Linked DNA regions of Arabidopsis thaliana. The protein of the gene in region 1 interacts with the protein of each later gene in a biochemical or structural test. Each region holds a gene or a part of one and is shown on either strand. Other genes may lie near its edges.

What was found.
Region 2: the proteins of KAC1 (region 1) and ERH3 form a complex in vitro, tested with the Arabidopsis thaliana proteins (one study listed by BioGRID).

What each region holds. Positions count from the first base shown.
Region 1 is NC_003076.8:3,290,183-3,299,834, reverse strand, and holds the start of KAC1 (kinesin like protein for actin based chloroplast movement 1), read left to right. Parts: upstream 1-2,461; 5' UTR 2,462-2,586; coding exon 2,587-2,796; intron 2,797-2,976; coding exon 2,977-3,100; intron 3,101-3,378; coding exon 3,379-3,465; intron 3,466-3,594; coding exon 3,595-3,765; intron 3,766-3,885; coding exon 3,886-3,992; intron 3,993-4,486; coding exon 4,487-4,618; intron 4,619-4,726; coding exon 4,727-4,905; intron 4,906-5,014; coding exon 5,015-5,176; intron 5,177-5,260; coding exon 5,261-5,352; intron 5,353-5,491; coding exon 5,492-5,643; intron 5,644-5,728; coding exon 5,729-5,902; intron 5,903-5,996; coding exon 5,997-6,143; intron 6,144-6,280; coding exon 6,281-6,469; intron 6,470-6,569; coding exon 6,570-6,638; intron 6,639-6,841; coding exon 6,842-6,897; intron 6,898-7,003; coding exon 7,004-7,214; intron 7,215-7,418; coding exon 7,419-7,610; intron 7,611-7,718; coding exon 7,719-7,910; intron 7,911-8,012; coding exon 8,013-8,363; intron 8,364-8,559; and 7 more. Other genes in the region: PAS2 (Protein-tyrosine phosphatase-like, PTPLA), read left to right, coding at 1-66, 242-260, 375-463, 564-617, 753-779, 944-1,014, 1,110-1,191, 1,531-1,627 and 1 more. UniProt on the Arabidopsis thaliana protein: Kinesin-like protein required for chloroplast movements and anchor to the plasma membrane. Mediates chloroplast movement via chloroplast actin (cp-actin) filaments. Required for the chloroplast avoidance response under high intensity blue light.
Region 2 is NC_003070.9:30,203,394-30,210,625, reverse strand, and holds ERH3 (P-loop containing nucleoside triphosphate hydrolases superfamily protein), read left to right. Parts: upstream 1-2,357; 5' UTR 2,358-2,575; coding exon 2,576-2,703; intron 2,704-2,934; coding exon 2,935-3,406; intron 3,407-3,737; coding exon 3,738-3,935; intron 3,936-4,104; coding exon 4,105-4,349; intron 4,350-4,424; coding exon 4,425-4,583; intron 4,584-4,668; coding exon 4,669-4,756; intron 4,757-4,845; coding exon 4,846-5,127; 3' UTR 5,128-5,312; downstream 5,313-7,232. Other genes in the region: AT1G80360 (Pyridoxal phosphate (PLP)-dependent transferases superfamily protein), read left to right, coding at 1-45, 150-197, 356-484, 627-686, 778-934, 1,014-1,179, 1,255-1,363, 1,438-1,890. UniProt on the Arabidopsis thaliana protein: Severs microtubules in vitro in an ATP-dependent manner. Required for oligomerization of functional KTN80-KTN1 complexes that catalyze microtubule severing. This activity may promote rapid reorganization of cellular microtubule arrays.

The DNA.
Region 1 (9,652 bases):
TATGAGAATGTCTATGACGCCATTGAGAAGCCTCTCCAGCTTGCTCAGACTGCCGCCGTTCTCGAGGTCCGTCTCTCGTGACACAATTCGTGTTTTATTTCTTCTTGTTTTGTTGCATTTCCCGGGTAATTAGAGAAGAAGAAGAATGATTTGGTTCACACTTGTTGCAACTGAGTATTTGTTTTTTTTTTCTTTCCTCTGATTAAAATCTGGATTTTGGAATTTTCCGGGTGTGGAGCAGATTCTTCATGGATTAGTAGGTGAGTGATCTGATCCATTAGACTAATTTCGAACTTGCACTACACCATTTTGATTAAACTCTTTTTAAGATCATTGACTGAGTTGTGTTCTGCTGTGTTGCTAAACTCGAATAGGTTTGGTCAGATCTCCTGTTTCTGCAACTCTGCCACAGATAGGTTCAAGGCTATTTCTCACTTGGGGCATCCTATACAGTTTTCCAGAGGTTAACTTAGAAAGTTACCAGCATTACTAGTTCATTATTTCTCTTTGATTGTTGCAAGTTTCATCATTTGATTGTTGAACTTTGTTTCATTTAATTTCAGGTCCGATCTCATTTTCTTGTTACGTCGCTGGTCATAAGCTGGTCTATCACAGAGGTGATTATATCTAGTCTCTGTGTTGATTTTGGTAGCCATTGATATCGCTCTTACTAGGAGACATTTATTAGATTCGTTGTATGCCATAAATCTGAAATGTCTAAAACATTGCTTCTCTTACTGATGCTTTGAAAGTTTCCTATCACAACATGGATTGTTGAAGTACAGAACAAGAGATTAGCTGTTAATATTTCGAACAGTCAAGATTTGACTTAAGTATGACTCCTTAATTACTCCATTTTGGTTGAAGTCTTATCCTAGTAGCGTCCTTTTAGGATAACGTGCTTCAGTTCATATGTTTGATGAATAACTCGCTCTGAGCGCAGATTATTCGCTACTCATTCTTCGGCTTTAAGGAAGCTCTAGGCTTTGCACCTTCATGGCACTTGTGGCTCAGGTATGCCATTCATGTGCAATATAATAATAGACATTGAAAAACAGATTAATTTGCAACTCTAATCTCATTTATTTCTCTCTCGTTAATCTGTTCAGATACAGCAGCTTTTTATTGCTATACCCTACCGGTATCACCAGCGAAGTTGGTCTTATCTACCTTGCCTTACCACACATCAAGGTAACACAACTGGCTCATGTCAATTCCTTAAACAGAGAACAATTCTTTCCTTTACAATATCATTTCTTTACGGGTTGTTACACCCTTTTGTGTATTAGAATTTAGAGCTCTTAGAGTAGACATGAACTGTTAAAGCCATTTCCCTCAGACTCTAGTAGACAGGATCTGTTTGTTGACTTTCAAGACGTCACTGTAAAATAATCCATATATAGACTTAACTTTAATGCCATCTATAAAGTTTCAGATTTTCTGTTCCACTGGTATCAGGGGAGAGTATATATATGGTTGATTCCTGAATGGTCCCTTTGCTCTTTTTTTTTCTTTTTCTTTTGTCTGCAGACATCGGAGATGTACAGCGTTAGGATGCCTAACATATTGAACTTCTCATTTGACTTCTTCTATGCAACGATACTCGTCCTTGCAATCTATGTCCCAGGCACAAACTCAGTCAACCTTTCTTATAACATATCCCATACATCTGTTCAATTCTGATCTGCGAGACTAAATTTGTATTTGGCTGTTGCAGGTAGCCCACACATGTACAGGTACATGCTTGGTCAGCGAAAGAGAGCTCTCTCCAAATCCAAGAGGGAATAAAAGAAAAGATTTAGAAAGAGACGAAAAAGCTCATCAACTGTTTTCTCCTCTTGTCTTGTTCGTTCATGTACTACTAGTCTACTACTACAACTTGTCTTTTGTTTAGCTTGTTTGAGCTTTTACTTCCTCGGCGATTACTTGAACTTACATGCAGCAGGATACTATTAAGTGTAATGTGGTTTCTAAATTAATAAGAAAATCATTGGTTCCTTCTCAGTAGAAATGAAAAAGTTGATTTAAGCTAAAATTTCCCAAAAAGTCGAAATGGATTCTTAATAATATTTATGAAATTGAAAAAAAATCAAGAAAATTGTGAAATTATTGGGTCATATCGTCTTATCATGGTTTAAATATTTAAATGCTTTTGAGATGATCACGAGTCAAATTTACTTTGCCCAAAATAACTATCAAAACTTGTTTTTTTGTGATATATAAAAGTCAACGTAGTTCGTTAGTGAGAGATTTATCATGGAACACGATAAGGCGTCGTGAAGTAACGCAGATCACAAAATATTTGTGTCTGAAAAGGCATCGGCGTTGTCTATTTTCTTAAATATAAAAATTGAAATAAATATAAACGTCGTCGTTTGGAATCAATCAAAAGGACCTTCTCCGCCTTTCATTATTTTGTATACCAAACCGAGGGAAAAATCCACAGAGATGAACCAAAAATAAAAACAAAAATCTTTGATTATTTCTACAAAAATAAAATTCGAAAACTTTTGAATTCTTTCATTTGGCTTTCGAAGCTGCTGCTTCAATTCTTGCTGCTTTGATTTGATTTTTTTTTTGGATGAAATGGCCGATCAGAGAAGTAAAACCAATAGATGGAACTGGGAGGTGAGTGGGTTCGAACCGAGGAAGTCTTCTTCCAATGCATCGTTTGCGGAGAGTACTGGTCACCGTACGACTGGTCCTCTGCTTCGCCGGAACTCGATTTCGACTCCCTCGCTTCCGCCTAAGCAAGCAATTGCATCTAAGGTTAACGGATTAAAGGAGAAAGTTAAGGTGATAAATTTCACTTCCTTTTTCACTTCACAGAGTATACTTGGCTTTTGGTTTTGAGCTGAATTAATTTTATAAAAGGCTGCTTTTAGTTTCTTAAGTCTAGCTTGTGGGATTTGATGGAAGTTTTTAGTGTTGAAGCCATTACTTATCAAGAAAAAAAATTGTGACTTGGTTGAACAGCTTGCGAAAGAAGATTACTTGGAGTTGAGACAAGAAGCTACTGATCTTCAGGAGTATTCTAATGCTAAGCTTGACAGGGTTACACGTTACTTAGGTGTTTTGGCTGAGAAAAGTCGTAAATTGGGTAAGTTTTGTGTTTCACTAGTCGTAAATTTGAAGTCTATGTAAGTTGTGTGCAAGCATCGAGAAAAACTGAGTATTCATTACATTTGGTGCATTTGTGACCACTGGAGAAGTTAACAACACTAGAATTGGTTGGCATTTTCCCAAAATTGAAACCTTTATTGGAAACTTCATAAATCCATCTACTGTATCTAGCTCTCGTGGTTGCGTTTATTTATCTGTTTTGTGGTGGAAATTTGGTAGTGTGTTGTATTGATTTATCTACGTAAACCACCACAGATCAGTTTGTCCTTGAGACTGAGGCTAGGATATCTCCACTTATCAATGAGAAGAAAAGACTGTTCAATGACTTGTTAACGGCCAAAGGTACACAGCTTCCATAACCAGTATCATCGATCTTTCTATATCGATAATCTTTCTTTGGTATAGGTTCACTGATGTATGATAGTTCTCTGCTACCTGTTGGTTAATGTGGATTTGTTTTTCGTACTTCAGGGAACATAAAGGTATTTTGCCGTGCAAGGCCATTGTTTGAGGATGAAGGTCCCTCTGTTATAGAGTTCCCTGGGGATTGCACCATATGTGTAAACACTAGTGATGATACTCTGTCCAATCCCAAGAAGGACTTTGAATTTGACCGAGTTTACGGACCTCATGTTGGACAAGGTGAGTACCATAGTTCATTGTAAAATGTAGTCTCTCCTTATGTCATGAGCTGTTTCTGGTTTCAATCTACAAAAGCTGCAACAATACGACCTCTGTACTTATACTGTAATTTTTGCTCAGCTGCACTGTTTAGCGATGTCCAACCTTTTGTTCAATCTGCACTGGATGGATCTAACGTCTCCATATTGTCATATGGACAAACTAATGCAGGGAAGACATACACCATGGTAACCATTCTTTTCATTTTCCTCTGAAAGTTAACAAATAGGTCACATGTTGATGTTGTGAAGCAACTATATAGATGGACTTGCTGTTACTTTCTAGTGTCTAGCTTTGCTTGTATGTGAGAATTTAACATAGCTTATGATGTATATGCGGTTACTTTTCTTTTGAAGAATATGCTCATTCTATAGCTCTCATGCGTTCATTTGCTTAATTACATGCTTATTCTTCTTCTATCGGGTTCAGAATTGAGCCTGGGATAAGCTTCTTTCTGGAGTTATGACATATGTAGGATGCATATCAAACTGATTTTGTTAGTATAACAACATGCTTTCTTTAATATCTGAAGTGAATATTGTGTCTACATTATCGTGTACATTCACAGGCATGTTTCTATGTTGAATGAGGTCGTTAATCATAGGACTGTCTATTTTCACAGTGATTTGTTATTCCCTATGGCTCTCCGTTTTATCAGCTTTGTTGATTGTTGTTTTGCCAGGAAGGTTCGAATCACGATCGTGGTTTATATGCTCGATGTTTTGAGGAACTCTTCGACCTAGCCAATTCGGATTCAACTTCGACATCACGATTCAGTTTCTCTCTTTCAGTGTTTGAGATCTATAATGAACAGGTGCTTCCAATCGAGTTTAAGTACTAATACTTTTGGGTTTCATTTTCTTTGCCAAGATAGTTCTGCAGTGGAATTTGACACTTCTAATTTGACAACCTTCATTGTCAGATCAGGGATCTACTTTCGGAAACTCAGAGCAACTTGCCCAATATCAACATGGATTTACATGAATCTGTTATAGAACTCGGACAGGAAAAAGTTGATAATCCATTGGAGTTCTTAGGAGTCTTAAAATCTGCATTTCTGAACCGGGGCAACTATAAATCAAAATTTAATGTGACACATCTGTATGTTTTATATTGTGCTTGAATACCTCCTTCGGTTACATGCATATAATTATCTGCTAAGGACCAAGATTCTTTAGCACTTCTTTACGGATGTTTTCTGCCTTGGTAGGATTGTCTCAATACACATATACTATAGCAACACGATTACTGGAGAAAACATATATAGCAAGCTCTCTCTGGTTGACTTGGCTGGAAGTGAAGGTTTAATCATGGAAAATGATAGTGGAGACCACGTCACTGATCTGCTGCATGTCATGAATTCGATTTCAGCGTATGTTAAATTCTTATATCTCTGTATTTATCCATGAATTTGTTCTTGTTAACTTTGTTTATGCATATATTTCTGGTTCTATAGGTTGGGAGATGTTTTATCCTCGTTGACATCCGGAAAGGATTCAATTCCTTATGATAATTCAATTCTTACAAGAGTACTTGCAGATTCCCTAGGTAAAATTTGTTATCTCAGTACATGCATCTTTCCTCTTTTGTGTCACCCTTAATAGTATCATCTTTTGTTTTTGTTTTTGTTTTGCCACCATTTCTTAAAGCTCTTTGTAAGTGAGATACAATATTCTGTAATGTGTAGGAGGAAGTTCCAAAACATTGATGATCGTTAACATCTGTCCAAGTGTGCAAACCTTGTCTGAGACAATCTCATGTCTCAATTATGCTGCTAGAGCTCGGAATACTGTACCAAGCCTTGGCAATCGAGATACAATCAAGAAATGGAGAGATGTGGTAAGTGGAAGTGAAAGAGATTTTTCCTTCTCGGATATTCATTTTGTTACAAAATTTGCTGCATAGGTAACCTTTTGTCCCGCAGGCAAGTGATGCTCGGAAGGAGCTGTTGGAGAAGGAGAGAGAAAATCAGAATCTGAAACAAGAGGTTGTGGGCTTAAAAAAAGCTCTTAAAGATGCAAATGACCAGTGTGTATTACTCTACAGTGAAGTGCAGAGAGCGTGGAAAGTTTCATTTACATTGCAATCAGATTTAAAGGTCATAAAGCTTCACCAGGGTTCTTGTTTAGCTTGTCAACAATTCTTTATAACTTTTTTGTTGTTGCTCATTATCCGTTTTGTACTTCATGCAGTCAGAGAATATTATGCTTGTAGACAAACATAGACTAGAGAAGGAGCAGAATTCTCAGTTAAGGAATCAAATAGCTCAATTTTTACAGTTGGATCAGGAACAGAAGCTGCAAATGCAACAACAAGATTCCGCCATTCAAAATCTCCAGGTTTGTGCCCCATGAGTGTTAGTATCTACGCTTTAAAGTTTTAGATCTATGTTAAGGCAACTGATTTTTGAAATTGTTGACTTCTCTGTACATGATAGACATATAATTCTCCTGTTGTTCAATTCAAATTAATGCAGGCTAAAATTACAGACTTGGAATCACAAGTAAGTGAAGCCGTTAGATCTGACACAACAAGAACAGGAGATGCCTTGCAATCTCAGGACATATTTTCTCCAATACCAAAAGCGGTTGAGGGTACAACTGATTCTTCTTCTGTTACCAAGAAACTTGAGGAAGAATTGAAAAAACGTGATGCACTGATTGAGGTTCTCCTCCCTCTTACTCTGATTAGAGTTCGTGCCCTCTGGCTGAACCATGGATATTTGCACTAGTACATTTATCTGAAGAGAATTATGTTTTCCGCAGAGGTTGCATGAAGAAAACGAAAAGTTGTTTGACAGATTAACAGAAAGGTCAATGGCTGTTTCGACCCAGGTCATTATTTTCTCTTGTATAGCTATGCTATATTAAGCATTTCAATATCATATCAAGGCACTGCTCTCAGCTGTTAAGAGAAAAATTAATTTAACTCCATTCTTTACAAATTGCTACTGTATGTTCAACACTATGCATCTGGAGGTTTACTTGCTACCAGTACTCCATTGCTTAAGTGTTCTTATCCATTTTTTTTTTATTAGGTGTTGAGTCCCTCATTAAGAGCTTCGCCAAACATTCAGCCTGCCAATGTTAACAGGTGATTCCGTGATTAGTTTGAACTACTGTTTTCTGTTTCTGTCCTTTCATTATAATTAATCCTTATTATATACTGATATGTAATATTCTGTCTCCGGGAGAACTAGTAGGGGTGAAGGATATTCGGCAGAAGCCGTTGCTTTACCATCTACACCAAATAAGAATAACGGAGCGATTACGTTAGTAAAATCTGGCACTGATTTAGTAAAAACCACTCCAGCTGGAGAATACTTGACAGCTGCATTGAATGACTTTGACCCTGAAGAATATGAAGGTCTTGCTGCCATTGCTGACGGCGCAAACAAGCTACTAATGCTGGTACTTGGTTAAGAACTAGTTTCTTAGTATCTTTATTAGACTTTTCAGTGGTGTAGTTATATGACATGACACCATTGTTCTATCATAATATGAAGAATGAAGGTTATGATGGATTCCTGATGTCTCTAGACACTAATATCGGTTAAGGACATGTTTTTATATCAACTTATATTGGCAAGCATTTTTCCTATTGTTGACTCGCAGGTTTTGGCAGCTGTCATCAAGGCTGGTGCTTCCAGAGAGCATGAAATCCTTGCTGAGATTAGAGATTCTGTCTTTTCATTTATTCGGAAAATGGAACCAAGAAGAGTAATGGATACCATGCTTGTTTCCCGAGTTAGGATACTATACATAAGGTCCTTACTGGCACGATCACCGGAGCTTCAGACTATCAGGGTGAGCATAGGCATCCGAGTTGTATCTGATTTTTATTTTAGCTTTGGCCTTAGCTTGTATGACTATGTTATTTCTCCTGGTAAAATTAACCCTATCCTCCTCATTTAGGTCTCTCCTGTCGAGTGCTTTCTTGAGAAGCCTAATACTGGTAGAAGTAAAAGCACTAGCAGGGGTAGCAGCCCAGGTAGATCCCCTGTTCGATATCTTGATACGCAGATCCATGGCTTTAAAGTAAATATAAAGGCAGAAAGGAGAAACAAGTTGGCATCTGTGGTATCAAGAATGCGTGGACTTGAACAGGTGGATTTACCTTGGAAGAGCACTTGAATTTCAAAGATGCTTGAGTTTATCTAACATGTTATATATTAAGAGAGACTTATGCTCTTGATTGTTATCATCTAGGATGCTGGGAGGCAGCAAGTTACTGGAGTTAAGCTGCGGGAAATGCAAGATGAAGCCAAAAGTTTTGCTATTGGGAACAAAGCCTTGGCTGCGTTATTTGTTCACACTCCGGCTGGTGAACTGCAGCGACAGATTCGGCTATGGCTTGCAGAAAATTTTGAGTTTCTTTCCGTGACCTCAGATGATGTATCGGGAGGAAACGGTGGCCAACTAGAGCTTCTTTCCACAGCAATTATGGATGGTTGGATGGCTGGACTAGGGGCCGCTGTGCCACCTCATACAGATGCTCTCGGGCAGCTTCTGTCCGAGTATGCAAAACGTGTCTATACTTCTCAAATGCAGCACATGAAGGTATGCGATGTCATTGGTCAAAAAATATTTTTTGAGTGGAATTGGCAGATAGACATTCCCAATGGTCTGAAATGAAAGATCTCTTTAAGTAGCTGATGTTGTGGCTGACTTTACGGCCTATGTTGAGGTCTAAGGACTAAGGTTTTAGTCTGAGTAATTAGTTTGGAGTGATGCCTAATATGGAACTGTGGTACAGGATATTGCTGGTACCTTGGCGGCAGAAGAGGCAGAAGATGCTGGTCAAGTGTCTAAGCTTCGATCAGCTCTTGAGTCCGTTGACCACAAAAGAAGAAAGGTACTAGACCGCACCTGAAAATAAACGATATAGTTCTGGGTGCTTTGATTTTTATCTTAGAAACGTTCTTGTGCTCTGACTTTCGTTTGCTTTCTTTATCAGATTTTACAACAAATGAAAAGTGATGCAGCTTTGCTTAACCTGGAAGAAGGCAGTTCTCCTATTCCAAACCCTTCGACGGCAGCTGAAGACTCAAGATTAGCATCTCTCATTTCTCTGGATGGCATTTTGAAGCAAGTCAAGGTATTTATACCTCATGATGCTTCATACTAGATCTTGGTTTTTGGTTAATTTTTGGTCAATAACTTATTTTGCATCTTGCAGGAAATCACAAGACAAGCCTCTGTCCATGTTTTGAGTAAAAGCAAGAAGAAAGCATTACTTGAGTCCCTTGATGAACTCACTGAGCGGATGCCTTCTCTTCTTGATATCGACCATCCATGCGCACAAAGAGAAATTGCTACAGCACACCAGTTGGTCGAGGTACCTTTGATTTCCATGTATAATTAGTTTATGTATAATCAGTTTCTCAATGAACCTACCATAGACACAAAGAACTCTACCTGATATAATGATGAGATCCGGATTGAAATAGTAAACAAACTAACTTGTTTCTCTTGACCGCAGACGATTCCTGAACAAGAGGACACTAATATTCTGGAACAATCACACGACCGGAGACCCTCATTAGAATCAATATCCTCAGGTGAAACTGATGTATCTCAGTGGAACGTTTTGCAATTCAACACAGGCTCTTCAGCCCCATTCATCATAAAATGTGGAGGCAACAACAACTCAGAGCTCGTGATCAAGGCTGATGCACGCGTTCAAGAGCCCAAAGGAGGTGAAATTGTCAGAGTTGTCCCAAGACCTTCTGTGCTAGTAAACATGAGCTTAGAGGAAATGAAACAAATGTTTGTGCAATTACCCGAAGCTCTAAGTTTGCTGGCTTTAGCTAGAACAGCTGATGGCACAAGAGCTCGCTACTCTAGAC
Region 2 (7,232 bases), on another chromosome or scaffold:
CTTTCGAGGAGAACGTTGGGCACTGATATGCCCGTCATGGCTCAGGTCAAACCTCGTACTTCTCCACTTCCATTTTCATTTGATTTGATTTGATTGGTCTCTTGTCTTTTTTTCTTTAAAGTGAGAAATTGTTGGGGTTTTGCGTGCAGATTCGGAGTTTGATGGCGGAATTGACGAACCCCATGTCTCTCGCCCAGGTTTTGCCCTCTCTAGAAATGTGTGTTTTATTTATAATCTAATCTAGTTTAGTTCACAAAAGACTTGGGCTTTCGTGAGTGGTCACCTTCTTTGGCTATACTTTGTCTGGAGTTTTGTTTTGTCTGCAGGCTGATTCTTTTGCTCATGTGCTTTTCAGGGAGTGGTGCATTGGCAGCCTCCTCAAAAGGCCTTAGAGAAGGTCAAGGAGCTTGTCTGGGATCCTATCATTAGTTCTTATGGCCCCGATGAAGGTCTTCCCGAGTTGAGACAGGCTCTTCTCAAAAAGGTAATCGCACCGTACTGAACCATTCTTCTAGCTAGCTCTGGCAACCTTTCTTGTATCCAATAAAGTGACCACTTTTGCTGCTCTTGAATCCAATTCCGTGACTGAGCTTGTTTTATTTTTGATTCCTTGTCTTGTTCTGAAGCTGCGTGAAGAAAACAAGCTAACCAATTCACAAGTGATGGTTACTGCAGGTGCCAATCAGGTATAACCTGTCTTTGTTTACTCTTTTGATTGCTCTTCCTTCTGTTTTCTTCTACTCTCATACTCTGTTTCTGTTTTTGCATCTAATGTAGGCGTTTGTGAACCTTGTTATTACATTATGTGATGCTGGTGATTCGGTTGTCATGTTTGAGCCATACTACTTCAACTCCTACATGGCCTTTCAGATGACAGGAGTCACCAACATAATTGTTGGTCCTGGCCAGTCAGACACTCTCTATCCTGACGCTGGTACCTCCTTGATTCTGTATCACGTTTTTCATGACTTAACATAGCTTTAGTTGTGACCAGTGAATCATTTTTGTTCCAGACTGGTTAGAGAGGACACTGTCTGAGTCTAAACCGACTCCGAAAGTTGTAACTGTTGTGAATCCTGGTAACCCAAGTGGCACCTATGTCCCTGAACCGCTGCTTAAGAGGATTGCTCAAATATGCAAAGATGCAGGGTGCTGGCTGATTGTAGATAACACATACGAGTGAGTTTCTCATTTCCTTAATTCCTATGATGTCCAAATTGAATGTAGTAATAAGCGGGGATTTGAAAATCGCAGGTATTTCATGTATGACGGTTTAAAACATTGTTGCGTTGAGGGAGACCACATTGTTAATGTCTTCTCTTTCTCTAAAACCTATGGCATGATGGGTTGGAGGCTTGGATATGTGAGTGCTCGATTCAATTCTATTCCAAACTAAACACTGGGATTGTCTTATAAAAAGGTTTGATGGACCTGCAGATAGCTTACTCAGAGAGATTAGATGGGTTTGCAACAGAGCTTGTGAAAATTCAGGACAACATCCCAATCTGTGCTGCCATAATCTCGCAGCGACTGGCTGTATACGCATTAGAGGAAGGTTCTGGGTGGATAACGGAACGGGTAAAGAGTCTAGTGAAGAACAGGGATATTGTGAAAGAGGCGCTTGAGCCGCTGGGGAAGGAGAACGTTAAGGGAGGAGAAGGAGCGATATACCTGTGGGCAAAACTGCCAGAGGGACACAGAGATGATTTCAAGGTGGTGCGGTGGCTGGCTCACCGCCATGGTGTGGTGGTGATCCCGGGGTGTGCAAGTGGTAGCCCCGGGTATCTCCGGGTTTCCTTTGGAGGGTTGCAGGAGGTTGAAATGAGAGCTGCAGCGGCGAGGCTGAGGAAAGGAATAGAGGAGCTGCTTCACCATGGAATGGTGGAGTGAGACGTTGTTTAAAGAAGGGTCAAAAGATGGTTACTTTGCGTTTGGTTGAAGCTATATAGTTGTTTTAAAAAGAAATAAAAGAGTGTTTGTTTATTCAATAATCAATATAGCTGATTCTTCTTTACAAAGTCATTGTATTTGGGATGTTGTTACCAATGGTTGAATCCTTAACCCCTTTGGTGTATGTATATACTCTTTACTTATTCAAATGAATAATCCAGCAATGAATGCAAAAGCAAAAACTGGATCAGCTTTATTCGTTATGAGTCTTTCTCTAAATTCAAAAATTTAAATTCGAGTCTTATGATTGACGTTATGACTTGTGAGAAATTGATAATCTGGCCTTTTATTTGAAATTTTAATTTCTGAACCCAGAGGATAAATAAAGTTAAAATCGATGATGATTTTAGGCTTTATTGGTTTGAAAGTGGGCCGTAGATGGGCCCGAATCTAAAATATTTGAATCGAACCCGAATAAAGAAAGAGAGGTTGGATCATAACTACCATCGACGTGGCTTCCATCTTCTTCTACTTTGTCTTCCATCTTCGCCGACGAGTCACATCTCCGAAATCCGGAGCCGGAGAGGGAGAAAGAAGGAGAATTTGGGTTCTCCGAGATCGAAGCTCTTGCCTCGGAACCCTTGATTTTGTTTTGGAATAGGCTATTTTTTTAGTAAAAGAGGAAATGGTGGGAAGTAGTAATTCGTTAGCGGGTCTACAAGACCACTTGAAATTAGCGAGAGAATATGCACTAGAAGGATCCTATGACACATCTGTCATCTTCTTCGATGGCGCCATTGCTCAGATCAACAAGTAAGTAGCTCCTCTTATCTCTCCAGTCTTGAATCTAGCTTTTTTGTCACCCCTTTTGGCAATTTCTTCAAGCCCTAAGCTACTTTAATAGTTTCGTGTTGGATTGTATTGAAATGGGCTTAGAAAAATCTAGAATTTTGCAATGTTCACCGTGCAATGTCTGTGTAGACAGAGATAGAACACTCTTATGTGCTGCGTTAGTGGTTCTGAAGCTATGGTATACTGTTTTAGGCATTTAAACACCCTTGACGATCCTTTGGCCCGGACCAAATGGATGAACGTTAAAAAGGCCATAATGGAAGAGACGGAAGTTGTGAAGCAATTGGATGCAGAGAGGAGAGCATTTAAAGAAGCTCCCACTGGGCGTCGCGCTGCTTCTCCACCTATCAATACCAAATCATCCTTTGTTTTTCAGCCCTTGGATGAGTATCCAACTTCATCCGGTGGTGGTCCTATGGATGATCCTGATGTGTGGAGGCCTCCTACCCGTGATGTTACTAGTCGAAGACCCGCCAGGGCTGGTCAAACTGGTACTAGAAAATCACCTCAAGATGGGGCTTGGGCTCGTGGCCCTACTACACGGACCGGTCCAGCTTCCCGTGGTGGCAGAGGTGGGGCTACTAGTAAGTCAACTGCAGGTGCCCGCTCTTCCACTGCCGGAAAGAAGGGAGCTGCCTCAAAATCTAACAAGGCTGAGTCTATGGTAAGTTATATGTTTTTGCCTTTTGGTATTGCACAATAGAGAAGGTTAAACTTGAAAATTTTCCATCAATCAATATTGACTATGGCATTTCCATTTCCATTACTTTACTTTGGTGATAGACAGGATGTCATGAAACTTCGAAGTTGTTATGTTATAGTAGGACTGATGTATCAAAGATCATGATTTCTGTTACGTTTATGAATGTCTAATTCTGAAATCTGTATTTAGAAACTTTAGAGTCATGGCCATGTTTCCTGTGGTTATGTTGAGTCGGTAGTTTCCACCTATTTTCAACAACTAATAAAACTTTCGGCTTCCTCGTTGATATCAGAATGGTGATGCTGAAGATGGGAAGTCAAAAAGGGGATTGTATGAGGGACCTGATGAGGACCTGGCTGCTATGCTTGAAAGGGATGTGTTGGACTCAACTCCTGGTGTCCGTTGGGATGATGTTGCAGGTTTGTCTGAAGCCAAAAGGCTGCTTGAGGAGGCAGTTGTCCTTCCTTTATGGATGCCCGAATACTTTCAGGTACTTTGATTCTGCTCCATACGCTGTGAAATTTGGATTCTATATTACTATTATTAGACATGGAGCAATCATACAGAATAACAGTTTCAATTCATCATTTCCGTAGACTTTATATTTGATCTTCCAGGTATAGAGGATACTTAATTTGATTGTTTTTGTTTCCCTTCAGGGTATTCGAAGACCATGGAAAGGAGTTCTCATGTTTGGTCCTCCTGGGACAGGTAAAACCCTGTTGGCAAAAGCTGTTGCAACTGAGTGTGGTACCACCTTCTTCAATGTATCTTCTGCTACATTAGCTTCAAAATGGCGTGGAGAGAGTGAGCGCATGGTCAGATGCCTGTTTGATCTGGCTAGGGCATATGCTCCAAGCACAATTTTTATTGATGAGATCGACTCTCTCTGCAATTCTCGGGGGTAAATTTTCCTGACGATACTGAGATTTCGATACTGAAATGAAAAGTATTTGTAATTGGTGGAGGTGTGATGCAGGGGTTCTGGAGAGCATGAATCATCAAGAAGGGTGAAATCGGAACTCCTAGTTCAAGTAGATGGAGTGAGCAATACAGCGACAAATGAAGATGGTAGTCGCAAAATAGTAATGGTATTGGCAGCTACCAACTTCCCGTGGGACATAGATGAAGCTCTCAGGTTTAAATATTCTTTGAGTTAATGCCGTCTTTAGACTTGCTCTAATATAATGAAATTGCTGATTCTGGAGCTCACGTTGGTGCAGGAGGAGGTTGGAAAAACGTATATATATCCCACTTCCAGATTTTGAAAGTCGTAAGGCTCTTATCAATATCAATCTGAGAACAGTTGAGGTTAGTTGTGGATACATTGTTACAACACTCGCAAATCTCTCTACTGGTCCAACGCAATCAATTTAGCAATGAACATTGTCACTTTTCAGGTGGCGAGTGATGTTAACATTGAAGATGTGGCCCGGAGAACGGAAGGGTACAGTGGAGACGATCTGACTAACGTGTGCAGGGACGCATCAATGAACGGGATGCGGCGTAAGATAGCGGGGAAAACGAGAGATGAGATAAAGAACATGTCGAAAGACGATATATCAAATGATCCAGTGGCAATGTGTGATTTCGAAGAGGCCATTAGGAAAGTGCAACCGAGTGTGTCTTCCTCTGATATCGAGAAACACGAGAAGTGGCTCTCTGAGTTTGGATCTGCTTAATTAAACCCACTTTTTTTAATTTAGTGTCAAAAGATGTGTGCCTTTTCTTGTGTGTTGTTGTTTATTGTATCATTATTATTATTTGCCAGTCATTTAACATATTCTTATGTTTCTATATTCCAAACTTGTAAACCTCTACGAAAAAAGAAAAGGATTATATGATTTTCTTCGGTTTTTTGGCTTCAGACTTAGTGTTCATAATTTCTTTACTGTCTTAGAAGAAAAAAACCAGCAAAGAATCACCTTGGTCTTTGTATCTCCAATACGTTGCAATCATTTTGAAAGTATTTGTATATTTTGTAAATGATAGGGATTGAAACATCATCCTATCGTTGACCAAAAATTTCACTGCGTGCTATATAAAATACTATATATGTTACCCTTTAACTGATGAAAATGTAAAGAGACAAGGCAGCACCGTTTATCATCAGACCAGTTTCGAGAGTGTTCCTGCATCGTTGGGCTCCCTCCTCAATTTTGTCTACGTGATTATATATCATATCGTCTACAAACAAAATAAATACAATTCTATCATATGAATATGTGATCATCGATGATCGATCAATATATGTTTTCGAGGTGACGTATATAGTATATTTCCGTAGAGACGGCGAAGAACATGATATCTCTGCATGCCTCCAATCAAATCTTTACACTTCATCCTTCTTCGTTACTTGTTCAGTTGTTCCTTTCTAATCCCGACAACCCTTAATTTGTATTTCTATATTAGATCGAAATATCTCATTTGTGATAAATAAAATAAAAAAAATCAAAGAAAGCTATAGAGAAGCTGCGTGCATGCATGGGTTGGCGATGTTTGGCTTGTTATGTTTGGCTTGTTATGTGGCATTATCTGTATGTATATTACCCTAAATCACATCTACGACATTTCCCTCGATCTTCAAAATATGCCAGCAATCTTCATGTTTCCTCATATCTCTTAACATTGGAAAATGTCTTTTGACCTCTTTTGATGTATTTTAAATTACTTCGAGCTCATCTATATTACAAATCATTCATGGTGAATTATTGTCCAGCCAATAGAATAGAAATCTGAATATAATGTGTACCACATCTTTTATGTAATTTATACGATATTCTTTTTCCTGAGAATGATCAAATAACAACATGCATGAATTGCTGCCAGAAAACGTCAGATTGATCAGTTATCACTACAATTATCAATTAACTAGTAAATAGTATCAAAATGTACGTAGTGCCCATCTATAGCTAGCTAAGGAGGACTCCGGATGTAGAGAAAAGCTAAAATGTGACTTGCTAGAGTTGTATTATATTGAATTTTCTAAACTAATAGTATCTTTTTTACAGATAATAATTTCCGGAAAACCTATTAGATGTATAGATATAACAATAAGCATCGATACCAACCTTTTACTTCCAAAAAAAAATAAAAAAAAAATGCCAAGATGAGATAATTTTGTCAATTTCAATTAGTGGGAAAATAACAATTGTCGTGTTATTTTTGAACCAACGCATCTCAGTGAATGATTTCCCAGTTCTTAAGATTTTAGGACATACTTTCCCAGTAACATCTAATCCGTTTGGGCATAAACAAGACAATTTGTAGTTATGTACATTTCTTAGTGATGTGTGTTGAAAAGATATGAATCAATGAGGTCCGACATATTTTGTCAATACGTTAGTGGTGTTTCAAAATAAATTTTTAGTATATATATTAAAATAAGACCAAAGGATAGGCTTTAGTGGTGTTTCAGGTATAGTTTTAATAATCAATTCAAAATAAGTCGAAAGGATATGTAAGATAGGCGTTATTTCAACGTGGATCATTATCAACCATGTCAAAAACGCATTTCAACTCCTAGATGTGTTGTTAGTTATATATGTTCCAAATGGAATCGACCCAACAGAAAAAGAGAAAAAAACGTAAAAGGTTATGCGATTCCAGGGACGTCTCATATATATATATATTCCGATGAAATATAAATATAATTATCGTGGTCTGTGACAATAAATATGGAAATAGATGTGGAAATCATGATCATGTGAAGAAGAAGAAGAACACGTGCAGATGAACTGCAAATGATAATAATGTGCATGTCCATGAGTTATGTACTTATGTGTAT